Linked DNA regions of Pelodiscus sinensis. The protein of the gene in region 2 purifies or fractionates together with the protein of the main gene of each other region. This does not show direct contact. Links are inferred from orthologs where the notes say so. Each region holds a gene or a part of one and is shown on either strand. Other genes may lie near its edges.

Region 1 (7,927 bases), on a different chromosome or scaffold from region 2:
AATCCTTGACTGCATTAATTGCAGGAATTAACACATCAATTGATAGCCTTATAAAACACTATTTTAAAATGTATGTGTACCTCTAAACTTGAAACCTATATCTGAGTTGTGAAGAATATCTATTAAGATTATAGCAACCAACAAGGACACACTTGTATGTAGAGAACCCATGATCATATCAAATCTTCCTGACTAATGATTTAAATCAATTTTATTTAAATCAAATCCATCCTGGTTTGATTGATAACTAAAATTCCTAGAGGTGACAACACTTCAGGTACTAATTATGGACTTATATCTAAAAATACTTACTACCATGAACAACTTCATAGATTTCCTATATTAAAATACAACTTCAAACATTTATTTTAAATAAGTTAACACTTCATTATTTCAAGATACTGTATCACCTTTTTCAGGTTACAAACCATTCCTTTTTTAATTATTTTCTTGACCAGCACCTAGAAGAGGACTTTTAGTTTTCCAATATAATCTTTATTCCTTCCCACACCTCACACCACAGAGAGCAGAGTGCTTAATTGGTCAGCTGAAACTAACTGAACTCATGCTCTTAATTTTTGATAACTAAACTGTTTGAAATGACTATCACGTTATTTTAGCTGCTGTAACTGTTGGGTGAACTTTACATGGAACTACTATTTAATACTACGTACGTGAATAGTTAAGTGGTGGTAAGCTACATCCTTACCAGGCAATGCTTACCAATTATGGTTATCCAATGGGGGCTGGAATAGCCCCCTGTCACTGTGGGCTGGTTCATCCCCACAGAGCCTGCGGTGGGCAGGGGTGCTCCAGCCTAGATGGAGCAGCTCCCGCCCGAGATGGGTGCCCCCCCCCCACCACACACACGCACCTGCCCCCATTTAATCCATTAACTGGTTAAACATAACATTTAAGCAGATAAATAAATGGGATTTTACATCCCCAAATCAAAAGATGGAAACAAGTAAAATTTAAAAATGAATCAGAAAGAAATTAGAATAAAAACACTTCATAGGAGGTGAAAATGTATAATGTACCCTATGTACTCGATCATAAGTCAATTTTTTTTGTTAAAAAAAAAATCACACCATAAAGAGCGGTGGGTCATCTGTGCTACTACTTTATTTTATTTTATTTTTTTTAACTGGGGGGAGGGATTGGCAAACCTCAGTTTCCAGCCCAACAGGGCAAGCCACTGGCACGCTAGCATGTTTTACATACCTGGAGCATCTGCAGGAACAGAGCTCCTCAGCTCCCTCTGGCTGTTAGCTGTTCTGGGTCAACGGGAATGACTGCCAGACCATTCCTTGGCCCACACTGCTTCCTGCAGTACCCATTGGCTGTGAATGGCAAACAGCAACCAATGGGAGCTGAGAGGTTCCATGCCTGCAGATGCTCCAAGTACACAAATGTCTCAACAGGCCAACAGTTTGCCCTGCTGGGCTGGGAACTGACCTCTTCTCCTGTATTTTAAAAGTCAGAATCGAAACATAAGTTTTAGAACTTTTATTTTAATGCATCTAACCAAAAAAAGTATAATAATTGAACATATATGAACTCATATGGACTAATTTCGAAGAAATGTTTTAAAATCTCATATTCTAATGCATTTAAAGTTGTAAAACCTTTCAAACTCTGAATCAGTCTCCAATTTACCAAACAGTTCATTAAACTCAGCTTCAGTCATAGCTGCTCCTGCATTGTCATCAGCAATGTCATCCTGATTGCTTATCAGCCTCCATTGTGTCACGAGCGAATGTGGTACTGTCTTCTGACCCATCAAGCATATGGCTGATGCAGCGTTTCCAAAATGATTTTTCTATAATTTCTAAGAGAATGGACTCCCACGCATCCTTGACCACTGGGCAACCAGATTAATTTTGGGCTAGATAAGATTTCCGCCTTTTGTCAATTTCACCATGCCTGACCACATCCAGTCAGATCACATTTTGCATAGCCGGTCTTTAAAGGGATTGTTCAGGCAGACATTAAGGGATTGTAGAACAGAAGTTAGACCTGCAGGTATTACAGTTCAAGTAATTTTCATTTTTTTGGTCACATGCTTCACCTTATCCAACCTATGTGCCCTGAACATGTCCCATACAAGCATAGAAGGTTTCTAGAGAAATGTTTCTCATCACTGAACACTTTTTCCAAACAGTCAATAGTACCACTTTCATCCATCCATCCCTTCACATGTGCACATATGAGGATACCCCCATGAAATGTCATCGTTTTGGACAAGGTTTTTCTTTTCAAGAAACAGAATAGAGCCTTAATCCATTGGCCATATATGATAAAACTACTGTAAAAATGGATTATTTTTCATGGCCAGTGGTTTTAATTAAGACTGTTTTTTCACCAACACTAGTTACTCTTCTTTTGCTCAGAAGATCAAATGTCATCAATGTTTCATCCATATTTCCTATTTGTGACAACTCCGATTCATATTCCTTTTGATATTTTATAATAAATCTTCGGAAAGATTCAATTTTTTTCTTCCTGGTCTCTCAGCAGCTTTTGTGCTATCTTTGTTTATTGCTGAAGATAGAGACCTTGACAGTTCACGAAGCTAGTATGCCAAACTGTTGATGTGACAAACACCTATGGCTTTTCTGACTCGTGTGTCATCTTTTGACATTTGGAGAGCACACAGACAAATTCCAGTTCTAGTGACAAGGTACGCATTTTGTCATCATTCAACAACCCAATCGTTGCGACTTTTCCAGCCCAAGAAATGAAGCAAACCTTGTTGGACATTTTTTCTTGCTTCTTGGTATGTTTTTTAGTGTTGCTTTATTTTTTCACCATTCTCCTACCTGCTTCTCATTGATGCAGAATTTTTGAATAGCAGCACAATTATTGTTTCCTTTGCATATTCAACAAATTCAAGTTTAAATGCTGCATCAAACAGATCATTTTCTTTTGATTTCAACATTCCTCATTTTAAATGCTAGTATGAAAAAATAACTCCAGCACCTCACCCCCTGTCATCTAGAGAGTTCCAGGGTGGGGTAGCACCTAGCCCAGTGGCAACACAGGCCATGAGGGGGGTGATATTCTCTGTTCCATCAAATCCCCTTGCTTGGGGCCAGTCAAGTCCCGAGGGTGCCAGACCAGTGAAGTCCAATCTATATCAAGATATAGTAGACTTCCGATAATCCGGAACCTTTGGGACCTAGGTGGTGCCGGATTATCAGATATCCCGGACTCTCAGGAGGTACTATAAGATGGTTATATATATACACACAGTATATACTGTATATAAAGTGTTTTTAACCCTTTTTATTGTAGCACAAGCACTGTTCAGCATCACACAATACCAGTGGCAGACTGATTCAGTCCCGTCCGGTTTTGCTCGGTTCAGCTGCTGCCGCTGCTGCCTTGTGACTTGTTTTTTGCCGAAGATCACTCACTAGGCTCTTCTCATTTTGATGTAAGACTATCGGGAGCGCCATACAATGCGATGCCGGACTAAGTCTACACTGCCATGATTTTCCAAAAATGCTTTTAACGGAAAAGTTTTCCGTTAAAAGCATTTTTGGAAAAGTGCATCTAGATTGCTTTCGCAGAAAAGCATCCTGCCACTTTTTGCGGAAAAGCATCCGTGGCCAATCTAGACGCGCTTTTCCGCAAAAAAGCCCCGATCGCCATTTTCGCGATCGGGGCTTTTTTGCGGAAAACAGTACTGTGCTGTCTACACTGGCCCTTTTGCGCAAAAGTCTTTCGGAAAAAGACTTTTGCCCGAACGGGAGCAGCATAGTATTTCCGGGAAAGCACTGACGATCTTACATGAGATCGTCAGTGCTTTTCCAGAAATTCAAGCGGCCAGTGTAGACAGCTGGCAAGTTTTTCCGGAAAAGCTGCTGATTTTCCGGAAAAACTTGCCAGTCTAGACACAGCCCTGGGCTATGTCTACATTGGCCCCTTTTCCAGAAGGGACATGGTAATTTTTGAAATCGCAATAGGGAAATGCGCGGGGGATTTAAATATCCCCCGTGGCATTTAAATAAAAATGTCCGCCGCTTTTTTCCGGCTTTTAGAAAAGCCGGAAAAGAGCGTCTACACTGGCCCCGATCCTCCGGAAAAAGCGCCCTTTTCCGGAGGATCTTATTCCTACTTCAAAGTAGGAATAAGATCCTCCGGAAAAGGGCTTTTTTTCCGGAGGATCGGGGCCAGTGTAAACGCTCTTTTCCGGCTTTTCTAAAAGCCGGAAAAAAGCGGCGGACATTTTTATTTAAATGCCACGGGGGATATTTAAATCCCCCGCGGATTTCCCTATTACGACAGCTGAAATTAACATGCCCCTTCCGGAAAAGGGGCCAGTGTAGACGTAGCCCTGGAGTTTTACTGTACCTTATACCATTTTAGCTTAATTGCCTTCCCATATGGCAGTAAGCTTTACCAGTACAAGCACATTCATACAGTGGAGAAAGAGGGCCCAGTACCAGGGATGTTAGATAGCAGGTAACAGAATAGTTGACTAACCCCATGAAGTCTTAGTCAACTATCCTATAGTTCCAGGGGCAGTGCCAGCAGCCAGTGTGTTCTAGCCCCACTCCCTGGGCTGCCACCCCATGCTGCTGCCTATGTTTGTACAAGGGCTTGATGGAAGGGGGGAGAGGCAGCTGGGGGGGGGGGAAATAAGCAACAGCCCTGGATAATCAGGGGCAGCTGAGACAGGGCTGCTCTAAATCAATTAAGGGGCAGGTGAACTGATTTCAGGCTGCCACAGGACCTCTTTAAAAACCTTTCCTGTGAGGGAGGGTGGAAGAGAGTGGAGAAAAAGTTTGGAGAGTGGAGGTGGAAAGGAGCTAACAGCTGATAGGCAAATCAGAGGAGCTGAGCAGAACACCATCAACACTGCTAAGGGCTGCAGGAGGAGGTGGCAGGCTCCAACAGGGAGTGTTTGGAAGCTTCCTTCCTTCTAGATGGCCAGAAACTTCAGTTGGTGGCTGAGGAGGACTGTTTACTCAGCCTGACTGGCTGAGGGCATCGGCCTCAACACCCCTTTGTTTTGCCAAAGGACAGAAGGCCAAATGCTCAGAAAAGGCAAGTGGGACTTGTACCATGTCCACTAAACTGTAGGATAATGGGCAGAACAGGGGCCTGGGAGCCCGAAGTAGGACTGACCCTACCACAGGGTTCGTTTCAGCACCACCAGACCCTAGTTGCTGCTGCTGGGGCAAGTGCCAGCCTCTCCTGAGTGAGCGCCTTAAATCCATGGGTGGGACCACAAACCGTTTCCACATTCTCTCCTTATTTTCCCTACCAACTTGAGGATCCATGCCTACCACGCATATCAAGAGGAGATGCTGTGGGTTCCAGCAGGTAGGCCCAAAAAAGTGCGACTAGGGAAGTAATGGTGTAATTAACCGATAAGCAAAAGCTCATTGGTTAATGCTATGGATTACATGCACTTCCCCTACCTCCCCCTTCTGCCAGTACTTTTTTTTTTTTTTTTTAGTGGGCTAGCCAGCAGCCGTGCTCAGTCCCAGCTTGCAGTGTCTGGGACCTACCTCACTGCAACTCTGTGTTTAAAATGTATTAGGCGCTGGGCTGGCAGGCAGGCAGCCTGGCTCAGTCACAGCTCACAAGCTGGGTTATGTGAAGGTTTAACAAGGGAGGTTAGATATTGGGTAATTGAATAGCTGTGTAACAACATAAACTTTTTGGTTAGATCTATTCTATAGTCCTGAGGGGTGGCTCCTGGGAGCCCCCTGCCACCATGCGCTGCTGCCTCCGTATCAAAGGCAGTAGCATAGGATAACACAGCAGTAGTCCCTGACTTCGGGGGTCCAACCTCTCAGTGGACAGAGGCTGCTGCAGGGGGGAGGGGGAGAAGAGAGGCTAGGAACTGAAAAGGAGGCTACCATGAAGCAACTTGTCTGTGGCAGTCAGCTGGCCAGAGGCTGGTCCAGCAGCAGCCCCTTTCCAAGCTCCCTGTGGACGTGGGCTGCTGCCATAAAGCAGCCTCTGTCCACAGCCACCTTGGGCCGCTGCAGACAGAAGCTGCTTCGCGGAACGCAGAGCAGCCTCCATCCCCCTGTGGACAGGGGCTCCTTCACAGCAGCCTCCCCTATTCCCTTATGCCGCTGTGTCTCAGGCAGCAGCACATGGGGGAGGGGGAGTGGTAAGGGGAAGGTGGCATCGCAGAGCTGGTGCTGGAGGGTGGGACTGGCTTTCAAGCTAGCTCTCCACCCCAGCTGCCTGTGATAGAGGCAGTGGGGGAGGGAGAGAATGTGAGTAGTCAAGATGAACTGAAAAGCCTAGGCTTATCAATTAATTCTATAGTCAACTACTCATTGACATGTCTAGGCTTAACCAGTTAACTGGTGGGGCTGGAATAGTGGGCTGCTCCGGACCCACTGTGGTTGTGGGGGGACTGCCACGGACAGGGGCTTCTCCAAAAGTTTCAGCTCTGGGCAGGGGGCTCAGGCTTAGCTTCGGCCCTGAGTCCCAACATGTTGAATGCCAGCATGGAGACCCTATTAAAATGGGGTCCTCGGCTACAGCTGGGTCATATTGCAGTGACTCTGTGCCTCATACAGTGCAGATGCTCAGGTTGTCAAGGCTCCTTAGCAAGTGAGAGCAAATGCACTGGTGAATTTACTGTCAACTATGACTTTGGTCTGGGGTTTGGTGCTACTAGAGCTTCTATAGTGGGGGGGGAGGGAGGGAAGGGAAAAGGAAAAGCCACAGGTAGTGCTCTGAAGATGCACTACCCCCCCCCCCCCATGTTCCCAGCCAAAATTGTAATGGCTACATGGGGCAAGGCTACATGGGGAGCCCCCACATACCCTCTTCCTGCCCCTCTAGGTTCCCTTCCCTTCATTCTCTCTCCTCTTCCCCCCTCCAGGGGAGAAGCTGTCAGGTAAACAGCTGATTTAGAGCTCTCTTTGCCAAAATTAGAGAGTAAGGGGGACCGGGGTGGAAGTTTGGTGCTAGGGGCACAGGGTGGGTAGAGTTCTGACAGCAACGGGTTCAGTCACCGGGGAGATCATAATCTGGTTCACTTGGCTCAACAGGCTGGGATGGTTAGAACAGTATAAAGGGGTGTCGGCACCAGTCTACCCTTCTCCAGTTCAATTTTTAGCAGACGTGGTGAGCAGAGAGGTGGAGAAAACGGCGCAGCCTCAGGCAAAGAAGCCACGTAGCCAATTGTGGCGGTGGGGCAGCGGCAAGAAAAGGGGTCGCACGCACACTAGTGGCCACGGTGCCAGCAGCCAGGCGGGCCGTGCGGCGAGAGGAGCTGGGGCAGCCAGTAGTGGGGGACAGTGGGCACGGCGAGAAACCACTCAGCTCGCGGGGAGCTGGCACTGCCAGAAGAAGGGGGCAGGCGGCGCTGGGACGGGGATCCCGCTCACCTCGCAGGCTTTTCTGATACCGCTCCAGGTCGGACTCTTCCCGGGCTTCCCGCATACGGACAAGGTCCGCGTCTCTCAGCGCCAGGCGACACCGCACGGGCTCCGCTTCCCTGTCCCGAGTCAGCGTGTGAGGACCCAGCCTTTCCCTCCCGGCTTCGCCGCTTCCAACAGCGCTCGGGAGCCGTAGTTCCGTGTCGTTCGCCGTCCCATCCCCCACAGCGGGCGGCAGCTCTTAGCGGAACTACGATTCCCACACGGCTTTGCGGCACCCACCGCCCCTTCTAACCTCAACCCGTGTGGGAGCTCGTTGCTAACCAACTAGGAAAACGGTCCCGTCGGCCCCCAGCTGAGGTGAGTTACTCCCTTTCAGAGCTCCGCCCTTTAATACGTCTCGTACTCACGTTGCAGCGGTCTCAGACTACGTCTCCCAGCATGCAGCGCGCGTCCTTCTCTGGGCCCTCGGGAGTTGAAGTCCCTACGAGCAACGTCCTCCCCCACTTTAGAAGAGTTGTTGCGGCCTCGGTCTCTTTCCCTTTGTATGCGGTCAGATCGCACCT
Region 2 (7,598 bases):
GGCTTATTCCTCATGGGGAGAGGAATAACTTGTGCAAGTCTTCTTTCCCGATGCTGTACTGTGAATTTACTTGTGCAAGAATGCGCATGCAGTGTAGACGCTCTGCCGTCTTGTGCAAAAAGCCTGCAGTGTAGATGTAGCCATGGTCTAGGAAGCCAAAGTCCTGCTGGCAGCACCATCTTCACAGCCAGGCATTCACCTCCTGTATGCATTTCTCTCTGGGACCCTACCCTTGACTGGAAGGTTCAAAGAGAACACCATCTATTCCAAATTCCTTCACCCGTACTCCAAGGCTACGTCTAGACTGGCATGATTTTCCAGAAATGCTTTTAACGGAAAAGTTTTCTGTTAAAAGCATTTTCGGAACAGAGCGTCTAGATTGGCATGGATGCTTTTCTGCAAAAGCACTTTTTGTGGAAAAGCGTCCGTGCCAATCTAGATGCGCTTTTCCGCAAAAAAGTCCCGATCGCCATTTTCACGATCGTGGCTTTTTTGCAAAAAACAAATCTGAGCTGTCTACACTGGCCCTTTTGCGCAAAAGTTTTGCACAAAAGGACTTTTGCCCGAATGGGAGCAGTATAATATTTCCGCAAGGAGCACCGACAATCTTACATGAGATCGTCAGTGCTTTTGCGGAAATTCAAGCAGCCAGTGTAGACAGCTGGCAAGTTTTTCCGGAAAAATGGCTGATTTTCCAGAAAAACTGGCCAGTCTAGACACAGCCCAAGAGCACTGTAGTTACTTCTGACCTGCTGAGGATCACACCTCAGAGTATCACTAGGGTCCACCTTGAACAGTTCCTTACAATTTGGGTTCAATACTTATGGAAAACATCCTGTGCCCCCTTGTATTTAGCTATGACATGATGCTGTCATTTCCCACAATCCCTCCGGAACAGAAGAGTTCTGCAAGTTGCAGAGCAATAACCATGGTGGGGCAAACTGGGCACAAAGTCATGGGGGGCAGAAAAATTATGAAAAAAACCCCAAAAACTGGAAGAAGGCACAAACTGTCTTGCTTTCCCCAGGTGCTGAAATGCCTGGTGATACCTCTGGGAAGCTTGAAAACTCATCTCTCTGGTTGGGGGCCAGGTCTACCTTAGTGAGCTTACAGCTACACAGCTATACCGGGACAGGGCACTCTTCCAGCCACACGGCACCTTCTCCAATGAGCCCCAGGAGCTGTGTCTGCTGAAGATCACCTCTGGATGACATAGCTCTGTCCACGCGAGGGCTGCTGTCTGGGGAACTGATGTCACTCTGACAAAAGTGCCCGTATAGACACAGCCACTAACAGAAGTGGGTCCAATAAAAGAGATGTTCTCGCCCTCCTTGTCTTGGTAATTGTCAGTGAGTAGCACAGCCATTCCCAGCGCATAGAGCTCAGTCCAGGGCTACCACAAAATGCTATGGGGCAATAAACTGGCAGTCAGGACAAAAGCCTGGGTGTGTGGGCATAAACCAACAGTCAGAGTTTAGTGTAGCTACAGTGTCATGTAAAACCACAGCCTGATGCCAATGGCCCCTACCCCCTCCAGGCTCTGTGTGCCGGGGACCCTACCCCCTCCAGTCTCTCTGGGCTGGGCCCCCCACCACCTCCAGTCCCTGGGCCGGGCCCCCCGCCCCCTCCAGTCTCTCTGGGCCGGGCCCCCCACCACCTCCAGTCTCTGGGCTGGGCCCCCCGCCCCCTCCAGTCCCTGGGCTGGGCCCCCCGCCCCCTCCAGTCTCTCTGGGCCGGGGCCCCCCGCCCCCTCCAGTCTCTGGGCCGGGGCCCCCCGCCCCCTCCAGTCTCTGGGCCGGGCCCCCCGCCCCCTCCAGTCTCTGAGCCGGGCCCCCCGCCCCCTCCAGTCTCTGAGCCGGGCCCCCCGCCCCCTCCAGTCTCTCTGGGCCGGGCCCCCCGCCCTCTCCAGTCTCTCTGGGCCGGGCCCCCCGCCCCCTCCAGTCTCTCTGGGCCGGGCCCCCCGCCCCCTCCAGTCTCTCTGGGCCGAGCCCCCCGCCCCCTCCAGTCTCTGGGCCGGGCCCCCCGCCCCCTCCAGTCTCTGGGCCGGGCCCCCGCCCCCTCCAGTCTCTGGGCCGGGCCCCCCGCCCCCTCCAGTCTCTCTGGGCCGGGCCCCCCGCCCTCTCCAGTCTCTCTGGGCCGGGCCCCCCGCCCTCTCCAGTCTCTCTGGGCCGAGCCCCCCGCCCCCTCCAGTCTCTGAGCCGGGCCCCCCGCCCCCTCCAGTCTCTCTGGGCCGAGCCCCCCGCCCCCTCCAGTCTCTGAGCCGGGCCCCCCGCCCTCTCCAGTCTCTCTGGGCCGAGCCCCCCGCCCCCTCCAGTCTCTGAGCCGGGCCCCCCGCCCTCTCCAGTCTCTCTGGGCCGAGCCCCCCGCCCCCTCCAGTCTCTGAGCCGGGCCCCCCGCCCTCTCCAGTCTCTCTGGGCCGAGCCCCCCGCCCCCTCCAGTCTCTGGGCCGGGCCCCCCGCCCCCTCCAGTCTCTGGGCCGGGCCCCCCGCCCCCTCCAGTCTCTGGGCCGGGCCCCCGCCCCCTCCAGTCTCTCTGGGCCGGGCCCCCCGCCCCTCCAGTCTCTGGGCCGGGCCCCCCGCCCCCTCCAGTCTCTGGGCCGGGCCCCCCGCCCCCTCCAGTCTCTGGGCCGGGCCCCCCGCCCCCTCCAGTCTCTCTGGGCCGGGCCCCCCGCCCCCTCCAGTCTCTCTGGGCCGGGCCCCCCGCCCCCTCCAGTCTCTCTGGGCCGGGCCCCCGCCCCCTCCAGTCTCTCTGGGCCGGGCCCCCCGCCCCTCCAGTCTCTCTGGGCCGGGCCCCCCGCCCCCTCCAGTCTCTGGGCCGGGCCCCCCGCCCCCTCCAGTCTCTCTGGGCCGGGCCCCCCGCCCCTCCAGTCTCTCTGGGCCGGGCCCCCCGCCCCCTCCAGTCTCTGGGCCGGGCCCCCCGCCCCCTCCAGTCTCTGGGCCGGGCCCCCGCCCCCTCCAGTCTCTGGGCCGGGCCCCCCGCCCCCTCCAGTCTCTGGGCCGGGCCCCCCGCCCCCTCCAGTCCCTGGGCCGGGCCCCCCGCCCCCTCCAGTCTCTGGGCAGGGCCCCCCGCCCCCTCCAGTCCCTGGGCCGGGCCCCCCGCCCCCTCCAGTCCCTGGGCCGGGCCCCCCGCCCCCTCCAGTCTCTGGGCCGGGCCCCCGCCCCCTCCAGTCCCTGGGCCGGGCCCCCCGCCCCCTCCAGTCTCTGAGCCGGGCCCCCCGCCCCCTCCAGTCCCTGGGCCGGGCCCCCCGCCCTCTCCAGTCTCTGGGCCGGGCCCCCGCCCCCTCCAGTCTCTGAGCCGGGCCCACCGCCCCTCCAGTCCCTGGGCCGGGCCCCCCGCCCCCTCCAGTCTCTGGGCCGGGCCCCCCGCCCCCTCCAGTCTCTGGGCCGGGCCCCCCGCCCCCTCCAGTCTCTGTGGGCCGGGCTCCCCGCCCCCTCCAGTCTCTGTGGGCCGGGCCCCCGCCCCCTCCAGTCTCTCTGGGCCGGGCTCCCCGCCCCCTCCAGTCTCTGTGGGCCGGGCCCCCCCGCCCCCTCCAGTCTCTGGGCCGGGCCCCCGCCCCCTCCAGTCTCTGGGCCGGGCCCCCCGCCCCCTCCAGTCTCTGGGCCGGGCCCCCGCCCCCTCCAGTCTCTGAGCCGGGCCCCCCGCCCCCTCCAGTCTCTGGGCCGGGCCCCCGCCCCCTCCAGTCTCTGAGCCGGGCCCCCCGCCCCCTCCAGTCTCTGGGCCGGGCCCCCGCCCCCTCCAGTCTCTGGGCCGGGCCCCCCGCCCCCTCCAGTCTCTCTGGGCCGGGCTCCCCGCCCCCTCCAGTCTCTCTGGGCCGGGCTCCCCGCCCCCTCCAGTCTCTGGGCCGGGCCCCCGCCCCCTCCAGTCTCTGGGCCGGGCCCCCCGCCCCCTCCAGTCTCTGGGCCGGGCCCCCGCCCCCTCCAGTCTCTGAGCCGGGCCCCCCGCCCCCTCCAGTCTCTGGGCCGGGCCCCCCGCCCCCTCCCGTCTCTGAGCCGGGCCCCCCGCCCCCTCCAGTCTCTGGGCCGGGCCCCCGCCCCCTCCAGTCTCTGGGCCGGGCCCCCGCCCCCTCCCGTCTCTGAGCCGGGCCCCCCGCCCCCTCCAGTCTCTGGGCCGGGCCCCCGCCCCCTCCAGTCTCTGGGCCGGGCCCCCCGCCCCCTCCAGTCTCTCTGGGCCGGGCTCCCCGCCCCCTCCAGTCTCTGGGCCGGGCCCCCCGCCCCCTCCAGTCTCTGGGCCGGGCCCCCGCCCCCTCCAGTCTCTGGGCCGGGCCCCCGCCCCCTCCAGTCTCTGGGCCGGGCCCCCCGCCCCCTCCAGTCTCTGGGCCAGGCCCCCGCCCCCTCCAGTCTCTGGGCCGGGCCCCCCGCCCCCTCCAGTCTCTGGGCCGGGCCCCCGCCCACATTACAGGGCCCCGAGGGGCCATCCGCCCCCATTTCCCAGGCGCCCCACGAGCCGCCCATCGCCCCCCAGCCAGGCGCGGCCGGGCAGCAGCCAGGGCCCCACCCCTGAGCCTCTCCTCGCGCCGGTTGCCAGGGAGCCGCTGTTGCCATGGCGGGGCGGCCGAGGCGCATGCGCGCGCTGGCGGAAGTGCCCGGATATAGCAGGAGGAGGCGCTCCCGCCGCCATCTTTGCCCGTAGCACAGAGAGCTGGTCGCGGCGGAGCATCCCGGACTCATCCGCCTCCATCCAGCCCGCGCCGCCCCCGCCGCCGCGTCTCTCGGACATGGACGATCGGGAGGACCTCGTGTACCAGGCCAAGCTGGCCGAGCAGGCTGAGCGCTACGATGGTGAGCGCCGGCCGGGCGGGCGCCGGGGAGGGCCGGGGGAGAAGGGAGGGAGCGGTCACAAAATGGCGGCGGCTGGGCAGGGGGGCAGAGGCGGCCGGGGGGGGTACGAACAAAATGGCGCCTGGGGTGGCCCCGCGGGGGCGAGGCAGCCGGCAGGGGGGCGCAGGGCCGAGGGGGCCTCGCCCGGGGGGGTCAAGGCGCGGCGGCGGCGGGGAGCCGGAGTAAAATGGTGGCTGGGAAGGGCGATCCCGGGGGTGGGGCAGGGGAGCCGCCCCCTCGCGGGCGCCCGACCCCCCCCCCCGCGCCCTTTCTCGTGCCCGCCAGCGCGGGCGGGGTGGCCCCTCCCCACGGAGCCCTGCCCAGCAGCGGGCCCAGAGGGAGGGTCCGGCCTGGGGGGGCCGGGTCACGTCGCCGCAGTCAATCTCCAGCCACCCCGCTGCGTGTGAAAGGGGGGCCTGGCCCCTAGGGGGGCCCTTCTGCGCCTCCTTCCCAGGCCTGGCCTCCTGGGCGCGCCTCCGTGTTCTGCCTGCCCTAGGCTGGCACTGTGGCTCTTTAGGGTACGGACCCTTCGGTCTCTTAGCTCTCCCGGCACAGGCCAGACTCAGGTACGTGCATCTTATTAGCCTTAGGCTTCAAATGATCGTGAATGGGAATATCAGGCTTTTTGAAGAGTCGGGGGGGTTTCTTTAAAGTTCATGGGCTGTGCTGATTTACATATTTGTAGGGAGTTCAATATCCCTGAGCATTGAGGTGGTTCTTTCTGAATGAACAGTAGGGTAATATATGCAATTGTCAGGGTCTGACACAATCTGCTTGTCATGCCACACCCTTGCTACTTATTTAAAACTAAATTAGATTCCTAACTGTTATGCTTGCCAATAAAACAAACTGAATGGGACTGTGGTGTAAACCTATGGGATACTGGCCTCCTGAGCTGTCATCAGTCCATTCCCCTGCATCAGTTGCTGGTCCTGTCTTTCCCAAGTGACAAGATAAAAAATGATCAGGATCTTTCTTACCATTACTGTTCAGAGCACCCCTGGAGGCAGTAAAACTGACAAGAATTAGGTCAGCTTTTCTCTGGAGTGGCTACCATTAGTAATGTGCCAACACTGAAGAAATATATATATTGGGGGGGGGGGGGCACAAAATGGAGCCCCTAAGAAGAAATACAAATAAATGCTGTCCTTTGGAATAGCCATGAGTCTGGGGAAGTGTTAGAGCAGTGGCTCTCAACTAGAGGCCCATGTACCCTTGTGGGAGAGGGGTGTACATAGGGGTCTTCCATGGGCGCCTCAACTGATCTAAATATTTGCCTAGTTTTTATGTAACCAGTTGTAAGGGTACTAGCAAAGTCTGTACAAACTAAAAGTCACACAGTGACTGGCTTGCTTTAGCTACTGTACACCAGAGAGGTAAGTGTAATGGTTATATTCCAGCTAACTCATAACATGTAAAAATGAGAACAGTTTTTGAGTAATGACATGCTAGGACACTGTATTCTTGTGCCTCATTATTTGTAAAGCAAGTCACTTTTAAGTGAGGTGAAACTTCAGGGTATGCAAGACACAGCAGATGCCTGAAAGGGATTCAGTAGTCTGGAATGGTTGAGAGCTACTGTGATACAGTAATTCAGAATTCACATATTTTTTCCCAGTACAGTCAGTCCCCGGGTTAACGTACAAGATAAGGACTGTAGGTTTGTTCTTAAGTTGAATTTGTATGTAAGTTGGAACTGGTACAAATTGTAGGGGAAACTCTAGCCAAACATTTCTCCAGAGCTCAGTTTTATTCTCCCACACCTCACTTCCCTCAGTCCTTTATTCTCAAGCTGAGGTGTCTGCTGAGAAAAGCCGCTCCGGGTCTCCCTGGTCTGCTGGGGGGGGGGGGGGGGCGCTAGCTTCGAGTCTCCCTGGTCTGCTGGGGGGAAAGAGCTAGTGCAGGGTTGCCTCACCCCGTTTGTAAGTAGGGATCCGATGTAAGTCGGATCCATGTAACCCGGGGACTGCCTGTAGCTGGAGAGGGGTTTAAAACATATTGGCTCTCTGCTAGACCATGGCTGTGCCATACGACTTACTTGTCAATGCTAGGTTTCCTGGTATATTAGCAAATTGTAGTTTAGATGCAGCTTATGTTGGCAAAAACACTTTTTCCTGGTATAACCACATCAACGTAAGGGTTTTTGATGGCATATCTGTGGTGACTGGCGATGCTGGGAAAACTTACAAGAAGACAAGGCCCAATTTTGAGCCCCCGTGCAGGGTCTAAACAGCATTGTGATAGGCATTCTAGCATGTTTCTGTGGGGGGAGGTGGCTGTTTTTTAGGAAGATGTATGCATCTGCATAGCATTCCCATGGTATTTCTTCTTAGTGCCTGGTAATTTTTCAAATTCTGTTATGACAAGGGAGGGAAACAGTTTTTGATGGTGGGGGCATTCCAAGGTTTTGGAAGTGGTCAAGGGTCGCACTTGTGTGTGGAAGAGGTGTGGGGCTTGGGACTGAGGTTGGGTGCAGAAGGGAGCTCGGGGTTACAGTATAGGTGAAGAGAGGGTGTGGGGTCTGAGAAGGAGTTTGGGTGAAGGAGGAGGTTGTGACATGGGGCAGGGCATTGGGGTGTGGGAGAGTGGGGTGTCGGATGTAGGCTCTGGCTGGGAGACACTTACCTAGGGATCTCCCAGCCAGCAGCAGCTTTGGGCAGGCTTCCTGCCTGATGGTCCTAGTGGGGTGGGCTGGCAGTCTTGCCTGCTTCTGTAGTCTAGGCATCTGTAGTGTGAAGCAGCCAGTTCTCATGATGATTAGGATATTAATTTGTTGGATTT

What was found. The genes of interacting proteins can lie anywhere in the genome.
Region 1: the proteins of YWHAE (region 2) and CEP170 purify together in Homo sapiens (affinity purification with mass spectrometry; 3 studies listed by BioGRID and IntAct, with this or other methods). This does not show direct contact. The link is inferred for Pelodiscus sinensis from reciprocal best matches to the Homo sapiens genes YWHAE and CEP170.

What each region holds. Positions count from the first base shown.
Region 1 is NC_134713.1:131,575,509-131,583,435, reverse strand, and holds the start of CEP170 (centrosomal protein of 170 kDa), read left to right. Parts: upstream 1-4,915; 5' UTR 4,916-5,055; intron 5,056-7,370; coding exon of another isoform or gene 7,371-7,425; exon of another isoform or gene 7,426-7,505; intron 7,506-7,617; exon of another isoform or gene 7,618-7,721; intron 7,722-7,771; exon of another isoform or gene 7,772-7,922; intron 7,923-7,927. Other genes in the region: SDCCAG8 (serologically defined colon cancer antigen 8), read right to left, coding at 7,371-7,425.
Region 2 is NC_134731.1:1,405,430-1,413,027, reverse strand, and holds the start of YWHAE (14-3-3 protein epsilon), read left to right. Parts: upstream 1-4,589; 5' UTR 4,590-4,714; coding exon 4,715-4,778; intron 4,779-7,598. UniProt on the Homo sapiens protein: Adapter protein implicated in the regulation of a large spectrum of both general and specialized signaling pathways. Binds to a large number of partners, usually by recognition of a phosphoserine or phosphothreonine motif.